Coturnix japonica: one gene and its partners. The protein of the gene in region 3 purifies or fractionates together with the protein of the main gene of each other region. This does not show direct contact. Links are inferred from orthologs where the notes say so. Each region holds a gene or a part of one and is shown on either strand. Other genes may lie near its edges.

Region 1 (5,716 bases), on a different chromosome or scaffold from region 3:
TCCCACCTGGTTATCGTAACAGTGCAGCTCTTAGATGAGCTGCTGTGAGAACCACATGGAACAGTGCACGTCCCAGTGCCTGTGTTCCATTGTGTTCCATTGCTCACCAGGACCCGCGCTTGCTCGGGGGTCAGAATATCCCCTTCTTTGCAGACTTCATAATCTGAAAGCAGCGTCACCACTCCTGCAGGAACAAAAGCAGGGGAAGAAAACCCCATAATCTGGCTTGTTAGTGGATCAGCACTGCAGGAGGGCACAAGGCTGCCTCCCGTCCTATGGCAGCAGCCAGGTGGTGCAACAGGAAGAAAATAAGGCTTTGAGCACCAGCTTTGCTCCAAAACTCAACCCTAAATGCCTACAGAATGTTCTTTTTAACAGACTGCATAGGCACAATGGAAGAGAAAGGGAAGCAGCTCCCTCACACCGTGTACCTTTCTTCAGAGCTGTTGGCAATCCCAGCTGCCGCAGCTGAGGCTCCATGGAGTGGGGAAATTGCTCCAAGGGCCCCATGTCCAGACTGACTGTGTAGGTCGCCTTGTTCCCTGCTCGTGCAAAATCCACCTTCCTGAAGTTGGAGAACCACCTGAGGGAGATGAGCACACACAGGAATGGAGGCACTGTGCAGGTTGCTGGGGGTTGGGGGTATTTTATGACAGAGCAGGTGAGGAACAGCCTGTTGTGCATTTTGGACTTACAATGAGCTGCGATGAGCTCGGTCACACACACATACTTACTCATCCACCTCCTCTTTGGTGCGATTGGTGAAGAGGAGACCAACTTCACCCCTCAGGTGCTCGCTGACCTGTGATAAAGGAGCCCAGAGGTGCTGAGACTCAGAGTTAAGGCTGGAAATGCCCTCATCACCTCCATGGATGAACCCCCCCCTACGGACAGCTGTGCCGGTTGTTTCTAACCGAGTTCCCTCCCACCTTGTGTAAGTTCTCCCTGTATTCGCTGCTTGGCTCCCGGCCCAGCGCCACCATCATCACTTTGTTCTTCCCGAAGAAGATCCTACAATTCAACCAAGAGGAAGATGATGATGATGATGATGGTGATGATGATGGGGTTGACCCCTCTCCATCACTCCCCATCCCGTTGCTCACCTGCTGTGTTTCCATGCGTTCCTCACGTCCTTCAGCTTGTTGTTCCTCATGTTGGCCACGGAGAAGATGAAGATGTGTTTGTAGGTGTCCACGCATCGCCGCAGCTGCACGACAGCGGTTAGCGGGGCCTAATGGGGTGGAGCGGGGCAGCGCGCACTGGGCACGACTCACCTCCGTGATCAGCGCTTGTTTGGCCTCCAGTCCCTTCTTAGGCGTCCGCGTCAGGGACACTGCGGGGAGGGGACGTGGTTCACAGAATGACCCGGGTTGGAAGGGACCTCAAGGATCGTGTAGTTCCAACCCCCCTGCCTGGCAGGGCCACCAAACATACACCTTTACTAGATCAGGTTGCCCAGGAGACCCCATAGACCCCATAGAGACCCCATAGATCAGGTTGCCCATGGCCCCGTCCAACCTGGCCTTGAACACCTCCAAGGACGGGGCATCCACAACCTGCCTGGGCAGCCTGTTCAGGCCTAAACCATCTCTAGTGAAAGAGCTTCCCCCTAACATCCACCTAAAATCTTCCCTCTTTTTAAGCTTAAAACCATTTCCCCGTGTCCTGCTATTGTCAGCCCTTTCCAAGAGCTTAATCCCCTCATGGATGTAGATTCCCTTCATGTACTGAAAGGCTGCAATGAGGTCACCCCGCAACCTTCTCTTCTCCAGGCTGAACAAACCCAACTCGCTCAGCCTGTCCTCATAGGGGAGGTGCTCCATCCCCCTGAATGGTTAATGGGGAAGGGGAGGACGGAACGCCGCGACATGAGCCGCTCACTCACCCTTACGGTCCCGCTTGGATTTCGGCATGGCTCCCCGTGCTTCGAGGCCCCCCGGCACCGCGGGTGCTGCTGGGGATGTGCGGGCTGCCCCGCTCGGTGCCTCCCCGTTCAGGCGCAGCGCAGGGCAGCCCCGTGATGCGGGGAGGTCCCGGCGCTGTCATGGCGGCCGGGCTGTGGGTGCTGCTGCTGCCGCTGGCGGCCGCCGTGTACGAGGATCAAGTGGGGAAGTTCGACTGGTGAGTGCCGGGCTGTCAATGCGGGGCTAAACCCACGGCTCGTGTCCGTGTAACGCTGCCCGTCCCCGCAGGAGGCAGCAGTACGTGGGGAAGCTGAAGTTCGCCTCGCTGGAGGCCTCGCAGGGCTCCAAGAAGCTGCTGGTGGGAACCGAGAAGAACGTGGTGGCTGCGCTCAACTCCCGCAGCGGAGACATCCGTGAGTGGGGCGGGGTGTGGGTCACAGCCCACAGTGCTGTATATCCACTATGAGGGTGACACCAAGCCTATGTGTGCCAGTTATCAGTGCTCCTTCAGGGGGATGTTGGCCCTGAAATCCAAGCTGCAGCTCCCGCAGTGAGGACATGGCTCTTTGCAGTGAGGACATGGCTCTTTGCAGTGAGGCTCTTTGGGAGGTCCCAGGGCCGTGGGTTTGAGAGCAGTCAGCAACATCCTCATTGTGCCCATCTCCTTCTCGCTCTGTGTCTCAGTGTGGCGCCATGCAGACAAGGCCGGCCCTGAAGGAGCCATCGACGCGATGCTGATCCATGGTCAAGGTGAGCACATCACACACAGCAGCTGCTCTGCTCCCCGTGTTGGATGCCCTGGCTCTGGGCTCAGCTCCCTTTGCTCCCTGTGTAGATGCCATCACCGTATCCAGCGCCGGGCGCATCCTGCGCTCCTGGGAGACCAACATCGGAGGGCTGAACTGGGAGACGTCGCTGGACACGGGCAGGTAGCGCTGGGCACCAGGGATAAGTCAGTATTTAGTTAGTAAGCTTAACGTACCTTGTCTGCAGTACAGCAGTTTGGACATCAGGCTTTGAAAATCTGGATGGTTGTATCCAACAGCTCCCCCTGTTTGAGAGCCCACAGATCATTCTCTAATCAACCATCTCTGACCTGTGCTCAGTTTCCAGGCCGCGAGTCTGGTGGGGCTGCAGGACGCGGTGAAGTACGTGGCAGTGCTGAAGAAGGCGGCCATCTCCCTGCACTACCTGTCCAACGGGCACCAGAAGTGGGTGGAACAGCTGCCTGAAAGGTGAGGATGTATTTGGAGCTGAAGAAAGAAAGTTCAGACTCACAGCCCAACTCAGGATGCTTCATGTCCTTGAAAAGCTTTGGAAGCAATAAGACGAGCAAACGATGCCTCGTGCCCTTTGTTTCTCGCACAGTGAGGATACTCGATACCAGATGTTGTATTCCCGTGGGGCTGGAGTGATCCATGTGCTCGGAGTTGTCCCCCAGAGCCATCTGAAGGTGTTAACGCTCAGTGTGGAGGATGGAGAAGTCATAGAACAGGTAGTTGTGCTCGATTGTGGATCCAATGTGGCAAATTTGATATGAACAAACACAGTGCATGGAGTTGTGTATGTAAGTTCATTCCTTAAACATCATCATGCTGTTGACGTCTTCATCTCTTGATGTCTCTCTTGGCAGACCAAAGTAGCAGCCCCGTGGCTGAAGAGCTTAAATGGAGCCTGCAACGTGGTGGGGGAGGCAGTGCTGGTGTGTGCAGACGCAGCCACGCGTTCGCTCTATGTTTGCTCTTTGGAGACGGAGCAGGAGATGAAGCAGATCCCGCTGCAGGTGAGCAGTGCTGAGAGGCTTCGTGTGCAGTTATCCAGCTGATTTGGTGCCTGGCGGTGCTGTCTGTTGCTGCTGATACAAGGAAGCTATTAGTTTCACTGGGGAAGAAGTTTCCATCAATGCATGTGCTTGTTTCCCTTCCACAGTCGCTTGACCTGGAGTTTGCTGATGGTTTCCAGCCCAGGATATTGGCTACTCAGCCCAGTGTGATCAACGCTTCGCGCACTCAGTTCTTCCTGCAGCTCTCTCCGGGCTCCTTCTCCCTGCTGCAGTGCAAACAGGGGCTGCTCAGCCACCTGAGGGACTTCCAGCAGGTAACCAGGAGAAAGGGCCAACACAGCTTAACACTGCTAACAACAAACACCCCTTTTTATTGTGTTTTATCATTTCTTGCTCCGTTCTCTTTTTCCCTTTTTTTCAGGCAGCCCTGGTGAGCTTTGCAACTACTGGGGAGAAAACTGTTGCTGCTGTGCTGACCTGTAGGAATGAGCTGGTAGGTGCAGCTCTGTCATCTGAATGTGGCTTAGAGTGGGTTCCACGCTTATTCCTTTGCAGGCCTGCATGATGAGTAGCTTGGGAAAGAGTGGGATTTAATGATCTTTTCAGGCCTAAGAAGTAATGCATGCAGGTCTTGGTTACATCCAGCCTAGGCTCACCTTGTCTAAGCTGTTGTGTCACGTATACGTTCACTGCAGTAGATTTCAGTTCTTACGGGCACTGAGCTGAGCACAGCCTCGTTTTTAGCATAACTCTCTGCTGCTTTTAAAGCCAAGCTGAGATTGCCAAGCACACAAAGCAATTCATTTATCACGCTCTCATGGCAGTGTCAAATCACGTTACCTTCTCTCATCCTCATTGCAGAAACCTGGGAGTTCTGATGGCCTTCATGGAAGTGCTCTGGAGGATTCCCAGAAACAAGTATGAAAAACAAGTTCCCATATGCCATAAAAGTTCTTGACAGTCCTTTTTCTTCCTTTGCTTGTGGGAACAGAGCATAGAAGGTGTTACACCTTGGTTTTGGAGGCTGATGTTTCACAGCACCTATAGATAAACCATCTAAAAACATTTTGAAACCATAATGCTTGCTCACATGAGATTCTGCAGCAGAATTTGACGTGACTGGTAAATTGATCTGAGCATTTTTCTGCACGATGTTACAGGAATCCTTAACCTGTTCCAATCAAACCTACAACATCAATCTCTATCTGGTTGAAACTGGACAAAGATTGCTGGATACCACCATCACCTTTAACTTGGAGCTGAACGGTGTCAAGCAGGAGCAGGTGGGTGGGCAGAGATTACTTCAGTCCTCTGGTTTGTTGTGCTTGCAATCGCCTTCACACCATGATTTGGCACCATTTGTAGAGCTGTTGAGATGTGGTGAAATCATTACTGTGTGCAGCTACGCTGTTTGTTTCACCTGTGTGTTTACTGTTATCCAAGCAGATGGTGTGATCACTAACCCAACCGACTGGCTTAATCTTTTTCTTTTTCCCTCAGCTCTATATCCAGGTTTTCCTGAAGAAGGATGACTCGGTGGGCTACCGAGCCTTGGTGCAAACAGAAGACCACATGCTGATGTTCCTCCAGCAGCCAGGTGATTGGCACAAACTGCAAACCTGACCTGGGTTTTACCAGCAACCTTCTTCAGGAGGAGAAGAAAACTGCAGTGCTGTAGAACCCAGGCCCTGTATTTTAGGGTTGCTGTTGTGCTGTGGAAGATACTGCAGTCTTTCATCATCTTTCACCCTCAAAAGATATCTCACCTGAGATGACTATTCTGCCATGTTCTTTGTATAGGGAGAACCTATCAGTTTTATAGTGTTTTAGGTTAGGGTTTGGCTTTTTTAGGGGGGTATCAAACATCTTACCATAGGGTGAGTCTAAAAACATTCTAGATCTTTCTCAATGTTTCTACAGAACAAAATCCTCATGGCAGATAACACTCATTTGCAGAAGGGGTTGCAGGTCCATCTCAGTGATATGAATGTTCCAGGGCTTATGTCCTCACACTTGGTTTTGAGTTTTT
Region 2 (5,812 bases), on a different chromosome or scaffold from region 3:
AAGTTGTGGGCACCCACCCGGCGGGCAGCAGCTGTCACCTGATCGCGGCTGCAGCCCCCCGACCCATAGGAGATGTTGTCGTGGAGGGAGCGGGCAAAGAGCAGCGGCTCCTGGGGGACGACGGCCACCTGCAGGAGAGGGATGCAGCTGTGGAGGTGGTGGGGATGGATCGGGGACAGCTGGGGATGGATACAGTGGGGATATGGTGGGGAATGTGGTGATGCTTGTGGACCCAGACAACTGGTGACCCAACGGGGATGGCTGCTGATATGCAAGAACACCCGGTGACCCACAGGGACAACAATGAGCTGTGGGGATGTGCGGTGACTCACCTGGCGGCACAGGTAGGAGTGCTGGTAGGTGGGGAGGGGGTGTCCATCCAGCAGCAGGCGTCCGGCTGTGGGCTGGTGCAGGCGGGACACGAGGGCCACCAGAGTGCTCTTCCCTGCACCTGGGGGTCCCAGCAGGGCCAGCACCTCCCCAGGGTGAAGCTCCAGCGATACACCCTGGGGACATGGATGTCACACCCATGGTGTCCCTGTACCCACCCCTCCATGGCCCCATGGCCTTCCTGCTGTGCCCTTCTGTCCCCTTTCCCACCCCCCTTCCCCAATCTCGTTTTGTTCCCATACCTCTGGTACCACATCTATACACCCATGCCCTCCCCGCCATGTCTCTGTCACTCATTGTGTCCCCATGCCACATTCCCACCACCTGCCATGTCCCTGCGCCCTCAATGCCACGTCCCCAAACCACCCCCTCCTTGCACCTCTTTGCTTCATATCCTCACACCCATCATGTCCATCACATCCCTGTGGCCCTGGATCACCCCGCTGTGTCCCCACACCTGTCACGCTGTTCCACCACATCCCTGTGTCCCCTGGCTCTGTCCCTGTGCCCACCTTGAGGACGGGCTCCTGGCGCCCAGGGTAGGAGAACCAAACGTCCTCCAGCTGGAGGTGGCCCTGCAGCTCACTGGGTGCCATTGTCCCCGAGGGTGCCACCTTGGGCTCCCGGTCCAGGAACTCAAAGATCTTCTCTGAAGAGCCCACAGCCTTTGTCAGTGTGGGGTAATAACAGAGCAAGACCTGGGGACAGCGCAGTGATACAGCCAGGGGTTAAGGGGAAGCGGCATGGGGACATGGGGACGTGGGGACATGGGCATCCCCTCGGGCTCACCTCTATGACATCAGTGAACTGCATCTGGTAGAGGAGGAAGGTAACGAGGTCCCCGGTGCTGACGGTCCCCGCAGCCACCAGCTGCCCCCCATAGTAGAGGATCCCCATCTTCAGAGCCAGTGCTGAGAACTGAGGACGCCATGAGGTCAACGGGGGACACCTTCCCAATGATACACTGAGTTCCCAGCCCTACTCTGTCACCTTGCCCTGCTGTCAGTGTCCCCCATGTCCCAATGCCCCACAGCTATGCTATCCATCCCTTCATGCCATCATGTTCTGGAGCCCCTGTGCCACTCCATTCCCACATCACCGCATCCTCCTGCCCCACCACTCCTCTACTTCTGTGCCTGCCACATCCTGATGTCCCCATGCCATCACATCCCCATCCCACAGTCCCCATTCCATCATATCCCCATGCCCTGCCTCCATCATGGCCCCCAGCCCCTCAGCATCATGTACCCATCTCCTCATGTCTCAATACCATCATGTCCCCATGTCACCCAGTCCCTATCCTGTCAAGTCCCCATGTCCCCCAGCCCCATTCCATCACATCCCCATCCAACTGAACGGCCCCATCCCATACACCGCTGGTCCAGAGGTTGACAATATAGAAGGCTACATCCTTCTTCTCCAGGCTGTGGCTCTGCTGCAGGCGCTGCCGGTAACATGCAGCCACCCCGTCCTCATTGGCGAAGCTACGCACAGTGGCCATGGCCTGGAAGGTCTCCACTGCCACCTCGCTGGCCCGGGCATGAGCCTTCTGCATCTGTGGTGCCAGGCCCTGGGGACAGCAGTGTCACTGCAGGGTGGGTGGGAGAGGAATGGGGGCTGGGGGAGGGGACAGTGAAGGCATAGAGGGGACTGAGAAATGGAGGGGACATAACGGGGATGGTGGGCACGTGGAGGTGACAGTGGGGGCACGCAGAGGATAGTACCTACATGGAAGGGATAATGGTCACACATAGGGGATAGTGAGCACGTGGCAGGGGTGGTGAGCACATGGAAGGGACAGGGGGCACGCGAAGGGACAATGGTCACATAGAGGGGACAACAGGAAGGAGGACAGTGGGTACGTGGAGGGGACAGCGGACACATGAATGGGACAACAGGCACGTGGGGGCACAGCCAGCAGCCCATACCTGCCGGAAGCGCCCCATAGCCCTGGGCAGGGCCAGCAGCAGGGGCAGCAGCAGCATGGTGAGCAGTGCCATGCGTGGGGACAACCAGGCCATGGTGGCAAAGAGGCAGATGCCACGTGCCAGATACCACAGCAGGAGGCTCAGTGCTTCACCCAGCTCTTCCCGCACGTCCTCTGCATCCCGCGTCACCCGCGTGGCCACATCCCCTGCAGGGTAATGGTGCCATCAGTGCCACCCCTGTCCCTTTTCCCTCCCTATATCACCCCCCCAAACCCCCTTGGCCTCTCACCGGCCCCATCAGCTCGCAGCTCAGCAATGTCCTGCCTTAGGACGGCAGCGAAGACACGGCGCTGCAGGCGGCTCTGCGTGCGGCTCAGCGTCCCCACGAAGATCACATCACACACCAGCTCGGTGACAGCGCTGTGATGGCACTGAGGTGTCAGGGGGTCCCACGCTGCTCCCCACCCACACCGCATCCCCCTCACCCCCCTTGTGTCAATACCTGCTGAGGCCCAGCAGCACCATGGGCAGGATGGCTGCCAGCTCGTCCTCGCGGGCCACCCAGTCGCTGGCACGGCCCATGTAGTAGGGGACGGCCATCTCACCTGTCACCACAGCAGGGTCAGGACAAGGGGGTGACCCCTCCCAACAAGAAATGGTGCCCCAGAAGTTCTGTGCTGCACCCCCAGTTTGGTGCTGTACCCCCAAAGCTCGGAGGTGAACCCCTCCAAAGCTCAGCATTGCCCTCCAGTGGGCTGCACCCACCCATCCACTCATCTCCATTCAATCCCCACCATTTCCATTCAATCACCATCCTCACCCCAACCCAACCCCAATCCCATCTCCATCCTCACTCCATCACACCCCCATAATCACCCTGCCCTCAATCCCCATCCCCATCCCAAAGCCAGCCCCAGTTTCCATTCTCCCTATTCCCACCCCATCCTACCCCCATTCCCAGTTCTAAACCCACATCATTCCCACTCCATCCTAACCCCATTCCCAGTGCCCAGTCTACCCCCACACCATTCCCATTCCCATTCCCATTCCCCATCCCATTCCATGGTTATCTCCACCCCCACCCCATCCCCTTCCCAACCCATCCCCATCCCTATCCTCACCCCCATCCCCACCACAACCCCATCCTCATTCATTCAAATCCCAATCCCACTCCGATCCGCTCCCCACTCCCCACTCCCCGTACCCAGCGCCGAGGCCGCCATCAGACCCATCCCCGCAGCGCAGCGCCGGCTCTCGGGGCTCAGCGAGAGGAGGAGGCGGCGACCTGCGCCCATCGTCCCCATTGCAGCCCCCGATCCCACTCCGACCCCGATCCCAATGCCCGGCAGCGGCCGCAGCTTCTCGGAAACGGGAGAGTCGCTCATTGGCTGAGGCGATGCGGCAGCGGCTCCTCTCATTGGCCGAGACGGGGTGGAGTCATCAGTTGCCAGGCAGATCGGAACGGAATAGGTTGGAGAGGGGTGGGGAAATTGAAAGCGAAAGTAACGGCGGAGCGGGGAGGAGATGGGGAGCGGCGGTGGTGAGGGGCTGGAGGGGGTTGGAGTGGACTGGTGGGGGGCTGGTGGGGACTGGTAAGAGATGGACTGGACTAGAGGGGGGCTGGAGGGGGCTCGTGGTGGCTGGTAGGAGCTGGAGTGGACTGGTGGGGGACTGAAGGGGGTTGGTAGGAGGTGGAGTGGACTGGAGGAGGCTGGAGTAGAACTGAGGAGGGGGTCTAGAGGGGCTGGTGGGGGCTGGAGTGGACTGGTGGGGGATGGAGGGGGCTTGTAGGGGCTGGAGTGGGCTGGTAGGAGCTGGAATGGACTTGGTGGAGACTGGTGGGGGGCTGGAGCGGACTAGAGGGGAGCTGGAGTGGACTGGTGGGGGCTGGAGGGGGCTAGTAGGGCCTGGGGGGGCTGGTAGGAGGTGGATGGACTGGTAGGGGGCTGTGGGGGGGCTGGAGTGGACTGGTGAGGAGCTGGAGCGGGGCTAGTAGGAGCTGGAGGGGCTGGTGGGGGCTGGTAGGAGCTGGAGAGGACTGGTAGGGACTAGGGGGGCTGTTAGGGGCTGGAGTGGGCTAGTAGGAGCTGGAATGGACTGGTGGGGGCTGGAGTGGCTGGTGGGGGACTGAAGGGGCTGGTGGGGGGCTGGTAGGAGGTGGAGTGGACTGGTGGGGGGACTGGAGGGGGCTTGTAGGCTGGGGTGGACTAGAGGGGAGCTGGAGGGGTTGGTGGGGGCTGGAGTGGACTGGTGGGGGGATGGAGTGAGCTGGGGGGGCTGGAATGGACTGGTGGGGAGCTGGAGGGGGCTGGTATGAGCTGGAGTGGACTGGTGGTTACTGGTGGAAACTGTTGAGGGGCTGGTGGGGGCTGGTAGGAGTTTGTTGGCTGCTGGTGTGTGCTCCAGGCAGGGCTGTGGGGAGCTGGGCTGGAACTGGAGGCCATTCTCAAAGCACTGCTGTGTGTTCCAGACACTGAGGGGAGCTGAGGACCTGCACCAGGAGCACACCAGGAGCACCCCAGGGAGCCCACCCAGTCCAGCTGTGCACCAGAGGCTCTGGGGGTCTCCACCCTGCAGCCATGGCCGTGCCACCCCACATTCTGCGCCTGTCGTGCACGCTGCTCCTGGCCGACCTGGCCCTTATGTTGGTTCTGACCCACTTCTTCCCAGCACTGGCCCAGTTGGGCCAAATGAGCTCCTGGCTGGAGGCTGTGCTGCGCCTCCTGGTGCTGGGGGGGGCCAAGCAGCTGCTGGCCCCCAAAGGACCCCATGGGGCTGCAGTGTTGCTGAGCCTGACCCCAGCCATCTTCCTGACCCTACGGGGCTACATGGGGCTACCTGGAGCTGCCCCGGTGCTGCTGGCCACAGCCACACCATCCTGGCTCGTGCTGACCCACGGGACAGCTTTGGTGGCATTGCTCACCTGGAGCCTCCTTGCCCCGACTGTGGCTGTGGGGGCAAAGGATGCAGAGACCTGGGTGCCCCTGAAGAGGTTGCTGGCCCTCGCCTGGCCCGAGTGGCCCCTCCTCAGCTGTGCCTTCTTCTTCCTCGCCTTGGCTGCACTGGGTGAGACCTCAGTGCCCTACTTTACCGGGAGGGCCCTGGATGTCCTCCGCCAGGGGGACGGGCTCACCACCTTCACTGCTGCTGTCGGCCTCATGTGCCTGGCCTCTGCCAGCAGGTAGGGATCCTGTATCTCTCCACAAAACCCCATCCAGCTCTGGTGGTCGTCTGATGGGTTTGTGGGTCTCTGTCGATTCCTGGTGGTCATCTGATGGGTTTGGGGGTCTCTGTCAATTCCTGGTGGTCATCTGATGGGTTTGGGGGTCTCTGTCCATTCCTGGTGGTCATCTGATGGATTTGGGGGGTTTCTGTCCACCCCTGGTGGTCATTTGATGGATTTGGGGGTCTCTGTCCATTTCTGGTGGGCATCTGAGGGCATCTGGGATCTCCATCCCCATATGTAGCCAACCCCTATTGGTTGTCTGATGAAT
Region 3 (5,747 bases):
GACAGATCTGCTTCAGTGTCTGAACAAACATAAATGAAAACCATTGAAAACCAATGAATATCTCAACAACGTCATCTCTGCAGTGTGGTATCTGCCATCCCTCTTTCTTCCACTGCCCTGGCACAGCTGAGCCTGGCCTAAAAATACCACCTGCTTGGCTGCCAGAGCACTGAGACCTCTGTGCGTGGTCATTCTGTTCCCTTCAGTCCTCCTTTTTTCTTCTATCCCCTTTTTTTTCTTGGACCAGCTTTCTGCCCTGTGTGGATTTTGTATTATTTTAACCTCAGTTTAAACACCTCAATAATCCCAGAGCATGATACGCTTTTAGCAGCTTGTATTTGTTTTTAACTGGCTCTTTTTGTCCCCAGATGACAAAGCAGAGCGGGCAGCAAACGGGCTTCAGGGCTGCCTGTGCCATGATTCAGCAGTCCTAAAAGGAAGGAATGCCTGCTTTTTTTGGGAGAGGGTGGGGGAGAGCAGGAAGGCATGTGTGACTGCTGGGTGTGTGTGAGTGTGTGACTGCCGTGACTGTGTTTGTGCATTGCCTTCCCAGAGCTCGTGTGATTGGAGCACAGCGTTCTGCTGCCCTGCAAGCTATGCTGGAGGTAATAGCCTGTTTCAAAAGAGGGACTTGGATGGTACCTGGCAAAAACTGCATTTTGCCCAGGGAGGAGATGGAACATGCTAAATTAAACACCTTTGTTACCTTTTAGAGCATTGGTTTCTTATTTAAGACACTTGGTATCTCACCTGCTGCCTGTCGTTTGGGGCTGCTTCCCTGCCTGTCTCTCCGCATTCAGGCTGGGCGCAGCTCAGCTGACAGCGAGGCACAGGAGCCAGCTCGGTGGCTTTGGGGTAAACTGCGACCATCAGATCCCAAACTTCAGCACAAGCGGGATTTGCTGATTGACCTCATTTATGCTGAGCCTCATTTCCGAGCTGGGTCAGTGCCGGCATTGTCCTCACGGGGTGGAATTTTCTCTGCGAGGAGACGTAACGCTGCTGACTCACCGCGTCGGCTCAGAGCAGAACGACGTTTGTAAAGGAAAACCCCCCTTCCCTGCTCCCCGGAGGCCACAGCCGGCACCGGGACGTTCGGCTTCAGCTCCCACGGGCGGCACAGCGGAGGCAGGGCCTGCTCCGCTCCCCTCAGCCCTCAGCCCTTCCTTCCGCCACCAGAACCGTTACTTCTGCATCCCCGCCCTCCTCCGCTCGTCTGGCCTCACAGACACCCTGACACAACCGCATCGCTTCCTTCGGGAACCCGGCGTTACACAAGGCCTGCAAGGCCTCTTGCCCGGCCCCAGGCCCACACCCTCAGCTCAGCCTGTGACTAAGGGGTACCAGACACACAGATATTTTCCTAACAGGCTGAAAACGCTTTCCGAGGGGTTAAAGAAACACCAGGGAGCGATGAAGGTGAACGAGCCCCAGCAGTACGAGCAGCTCCCGGCACAGCAGCGAGCGAGGCCGAACCCTGCTACAAGGCCGAGCCCCGCTATGGGGCCTAACCCCGCTACGAGGCCGAACCCCGCTGTGAGGCCTAACCCCGCTACGAGGCCTTAACCCCGCTATGAGGCCTAACCCCGCTACGGGGCCTTAACCCCGCTGTGAGGCCTAACCCCGCTACGGGGCCTTAACCCCGCTCTGAAGCCTAACCCCGCTGTGAGGCGATGCGCCCAGGCCGCAGCCCCGGCCGTGCCCCCACCACAGAGAGCGGCCGTGTCCCCGCCCACATCTCAACGGCCTCCCCTGGGCCAGCCAATCACCGCGCACTTCCTGCAACCTCGCCAGCCAATAGGAGCGCTCCACGAAGGGCAGCGCCGTTGGGGCGTGTTTTGAGGCGGGCGGGCCGTTGAGCGGCGGCGCTTTTAGCCAATCAGAACGCAGAACGGGCGGAGGGGCGGGAGGGTGGGCGCGCCGCTCGCCAATGGGAGAAGAGAAGAGAGGTGGGCCGGGGGGCGGAGCTGGCGCGCAATAGATAGGCGGGCGACGGCGGCGCTGGGCGCCTGGACACGTGACGGAGGTGAGGGCCGGGGGCGGCGGGAGGGTCCGCGGTGCTGCGGGGTGCGGTGAGTGACTCCACAGACACACACACATATATACACATGGCGGGGGGTTTGTTGGGGCTGCGGGGCTCCGCACGGTGCGGGGGGTGCGGTGTTGGGGTGCCGGGCCTCGAGCCTTCAGCCTCCAGCGTGGGCCTTGTGGGCAGCGGGGGGGTCCCGAGCCGCTGAGGGAGGGATGTGTGCGGCCGAGAGCTGCGGGCCGCCATGCTGAGCCCTGCGGGAACGGCGCCTTCTGGTACGTTCTGAGGGCGGGCGGCGCTGCGGCCTGTGCGGGGATGGGCGGGATGGGGAGCGGGGCCGTGACGGCACGAGGGGGGGAGAGCACGGAGTGAGGGGACGGGGAGGATGAGCAATGGGAAACAACGGGGTGTGCAATGGGAAACAACAGGTGGGGGTGCGGGCTGAGAGCCGCCGTGCTGTGAGCCTCACGGGCTGGGCTGGTTGCAGCGCAGGGCTCTCAGCTCGCACTGCTGGTCTGAGGGTCTCAGCCGTGTGCTTTTGAATTACAAATCTTAGTAAAGCACTCGTAGTCGTGACAGCGCTGTCTGCTCTGCTCCTAAAGAGTGAACTTTCACGTGCCGTCCCGCGCTTCAGAACTTTCTAGGCGGTGGAAAGAGAAATGCTGCGGGTGAGCTCATTGGGAAGGGAAGCTGCCATGTGGTGCTGGCTGGGGTTACCTACAGCTCCGGGCTTCAGCGGTTGTGATGTTAATGAACGCTGCTGAGCATCGTGTAAAACACACCGAGTTCGTTTGGGGTTTGTCTGGTGCCTGAGGTCCGGGCTCCGGGAACGTGATGTTTGTTGAAATTCAGTCTGTTATTTAATGTTTGTCAAGTAGTGATAACCCATGTGTATTATAAGGAGATAATAGAACCGTAATAAGGTGTGATATAACAGTGTTAAGAGTATGGGTTAAATGGAAGTTAATATATTACTACAAAAACACTTGAGGTGCACGAGAGTGGCTATTACATTATGTGGGTTTATTCAGAATGCTTGGCCCTTTTCTAGTTAAACTTCAGTATTTAAGTCTCAATATTTCCACTTACTTCACTTTACTTAAATATATGTGTAATGAAGAGACTATTTCTACATACTATTTGACAAGCTGGCTATAGGACGTTAACTGTTTCCTGGTGTTGGCTGCCCCTTTTGGAAGAGAAGCCTAATGCAGAACAGCGAGGAAGCTCACAGCTTCCTCTAGTTTGCCCTTTCATTCAATGTGTTGCAGCATTTCCCGCTAAGTAAATGAATAAATGCTTCACTGAGAGCACCCTGTAACTTGTACTTAGCCCTTCCTTGTATTTCCTTTCCTGGCCTTTCATTTTTCTGCCTCTTGCAGTGAACAAAATGGCAGCCTGTTCTTGCTGGAATCAATTCTGTAGCAAAGCAATCCTGAATTGATTTCTAGGCATGATCTCAAAGATCTTGAGGCGCCTCCACATTTCTCCCCACCTACCTTAATTTCCCTTGCAGTCCATCTGTTTTATGGCCAAGAAGCCTTGCAGTTCTGCCTTTGTCCTCCAAGGACTTCCAGTTCTGCGGGGATCTCTGTGCTGACAAACAGTACATGGTGTTTTCTCCCTTGCTGTTTCTGCAGTGTTGTACATTATTTTTAGAAACTGGCGTATTTGAAGTGCTTATTAAAGGCGAGCTTTGCTGTCACCTTTCACACCTAATCCCTTGGTTTGTTCTTCTTGCAGTCCAACCAGGGTGGCTTTTTCTGTTGCTCGTGGGGGCTCCAGGTTTGGCTGATCCCTTCTCAGAGTAGCAGTGTGTCCTGCCCCCACCCCTCCTTTGTGAGGGGAGAAAAAAAGCCAAACCAACGATACCACCCACACACAGAACTCCAGCCTGTTGAAAGCAAGGCAGGGCACTACTGGAGTCTGTCTGACTGCAGAACTGAGCACTTAAGGGGAAAATTTGGTCTGTATCGTATGAGCTGCTGTAGATATGAACATAATTTTATTATATCCCTCTCAGGAGCGGTGGGAATCTGGATGCTGAGATCACAGTGTTTGGCAATGAGGTTAGTGGTCTAGCTTTGCTGTGGAGTGTAGATCTCCCAAGTCTGCCTAATGAGAGGCCTGTGTGACAGGCGTGGATGCCTGCAGTGTACCTGATACGTTGGCATAAAGCTGATGCTGCTGCTAGCAGCTTAACATCCTTTATCCTTGGCTACTTGTCCTGCTACAGCACCTTCTGCCTTTGTGTACTGGACTGGAGCATTGATGACAGGTTAAAGCAGAAGGGTTTTTAGCCATCTTAAAGGGCCTGCCCTGCTCACCAGCAGGCAGTTGCTGTGACACAGCAGAGGAGGCAGGATGTGGAAAGTGAAGGGATCTCAAGATGTCAGAGATTCCTCCGCTCTTCAGTGGTTTGAACTTTAAGGAACTATTGGCCTGCCTTGTGGAATAGCCAAGTCCTGCTCAGAAATAATGAGAATGTCGTTTGAAGGGGGTGAGGATGGGGCGGGTATTGCTCCTCCTTTTGGTCTCCTGGCAGTTTTGTTTGAATGTACTGACTTGTGTCTGTACAATTTTCTTCCCCGGCCCTTGTCTTGCATGAGGATGCACTGTGCTTAGTTTTGCAGTTGTGCTTCCTCTGTAAATACAGTAACAAAGTGTAGCACTGAACACAGGGCTTTGCTAGTAAATCTTGTTGCTTACATGCGCTCAAGTCAGTTTCAGCTGTTGAGATGTTGCTGAAATAAGAACTGATAGTGCTCTCCCAGTTAAGCTTCTGAAGGGTAGTTATGGTAACTTGTGTGATGCAGCCACTTCCCTTCAATGCTTTGCTCTGCAATACCTGATGTCAAAAGAGCTGTTTTATCTGACAGGGTCTTTTAATAGAAAACTTTGTTAAACTATATATCCAGCAGCGATTGAGCTGTAGTTATACTTTGTGCAATGTGCAGTGTTAAGAACTGGCTCGATGAGCCACTCAGATGTGTAACCAAGGAGATGATTAAACTGGTTTTGCAGGCTCTGCTTAAACTGTGGGGAAATAACTTTATAAAGAGTATGTTCTGGAAGTATGATAGCAAGGACCTTAGACATCCTCTGTGGGGGCCCTCTCCTCTGTGTCCTTCCTGCTGCATGTGCTGGTGATAACTGATGTACTAATCAAGTCTTTGCAGTGTTGTGCCACTAATTAAGAAGAAAATTAGACTTTATGCCCAATAAAATAGGAAAACCAAGTCTGTGAAGCTGCATGATTTCTTGAAGGCTTTGGAATGTGAGTGCAGCAATCACTTGGTCCTGCACTGTATGAGTGCTGCTGTGGCAGGAAGCTGATGCTGTCTCTTCATGTCCAGTTTGGTTTAGTTTTTACTGATGTAACTTCAGTGCAGTTCCATGTGTCTGTTCCCAATGCTGCCATAAATTGCAGGGGAAAATGCTTCAGCCCTTTGCCAGGAGCTGGTGGGCAGTGCTGGGGAGGCAATGAGCCTCCTGGCATGGAACCTGCCTGAGCATGAGTGATGTGATGGCACTGGCAGTCCTGAGCTCTTCCTGGCTATTGTCTGGTGATGGCAAATGGCAGCACTTCTCCCTTCTACGCAAGTAGCATGCTGATGTCTTGGAGTGTCCCAAGACCTTATTTAAGAAAGAAAGCTCTTGCCTCTGACTTGGCAGTGGTGTATTTAAATGAGAGTTATTCTCTGGTGGGAGCCCTGCT

The links. Proteins that work in one complex are often made in the same cells at the same time.
Region 1: the proteins of CANX (region 3) and EMC1 purify together in Homo sapiens (affinity purification with mass spectrometry; 4 studies listed by BioGRID and IntAct, with this or other methods). This does not show direct contact. The link is inferred for Coturnix japonica from reciprocal best matches to the Homo sapiens genes CANX and EMC1.
Region 2: the proteins of CANX (region 3) and TAP1 purify together in Homo sapiens (affinity purification with mass spectrometry; 3 studies listed by BioGRID and IntAct, with this or other methods). This does not show direct contact. The link is inferred for Coturnix japonica from reciprocal best matches to the Homo sapiens genes CANX and TAP1.

The regions. Positions count from the first base shown.
Region 1 is NC_029536.1:4,061,469-4,067,184, reverse strand, and holds the start of EMC1 (ER membrane protein complex subunit 1), read left to right. Parts: upstream 1-2,004; 5' UTR 2,005-2,020; coding exon 2,021-2,121; intron 2,122-2,192; coding exon 2,193-2,317; intron 2,318-2,588; coding exon 2,589-2,654; intron 2,655-2,739; coding exon 2,740-2,833; intron 2,834-3,010; coding exon 3,011-3,139; intron 3,140-3,272; coding exon 3,273-3,399; intron 3,400-3,537; coding exon 3,538-3,687; intron 3,688-3,833; coding exon 3,834-4,001; intron 4,002-4,108; coding exon 4,109-4,180; intron 4,181-4,548; coding exon 4,549-4,605; intron 4,606-4,847; coding exon 4,848-4,970; intron 4,971-5,187; coding exon 5,188-5,284; intron 5,285-5,716. Other genes in the region: MRTO4 (mRNA turnover protein 4 homolog), read right to left, coding at 108-184, 432-583, 735-802, 930-1,011, 1,104-1,207, 1,275-1,333, 1,886-1,913. UniProt on the Homo sapiens protein: Part of the endoplasmic reticulum membrane protein complex (EMC) that enables the energy-independent insertion into endoplasmic reticulum membranes of newly synthesized membrane proteins.
Region 2 is NC_029531.1:100,906-106,717, forward strand, and holds the start of TAP1 (antigen peptide transporter 1), read right to left. Parts: upstream 3,713-5,812; 5' UTR 3,704-3,712; coding exon 3,523-3,703; intron 2,924-3,522; coding exon 2,821-2,923; intron 2,739-2,820; coding exon 2,608-2,738; intron 2,525-2,607; coding exon 2,319-2,524; intron 1,961-2,318; coding exon 1,763-1,960; intron 1,309-1,762; coding exon 1,180-1,308; intron 1,089-1,179; coding exon 903-1,088; intron 507-902; coding exon 333-506; intron 129-332; coding exon 1-128. Other genes in the region: TAP2 (antigen peptide transporter 2), read left to right, coding at 4,898-5,499. UniProt on the Homo sapiens protein: ABC transporter associated with antigen processing. In complex with TAP2 mediates unidirectional translocation of peptide antigens from cytosol to endoplasmic reticulum (ER) for loading onto MHC class I (MHCI) molecules.
Region 3 is NC_029528.1:4,533,185-4,538,931, forward strand, and holds the start of CANX (calnexin), read left to right. Parts: upstream 1-1,967; 5' UTR 1,968-2,072; intron 2,073-5,747. UniProt on the Homo sapiens protein: Calcium-binding protein that interacts with newly synthesized monoglucosylated glycoproteins in the endoplasmic reticulum. It may act in assisting protein assembly and/or in the retention within the ER of unassembled protein subunits.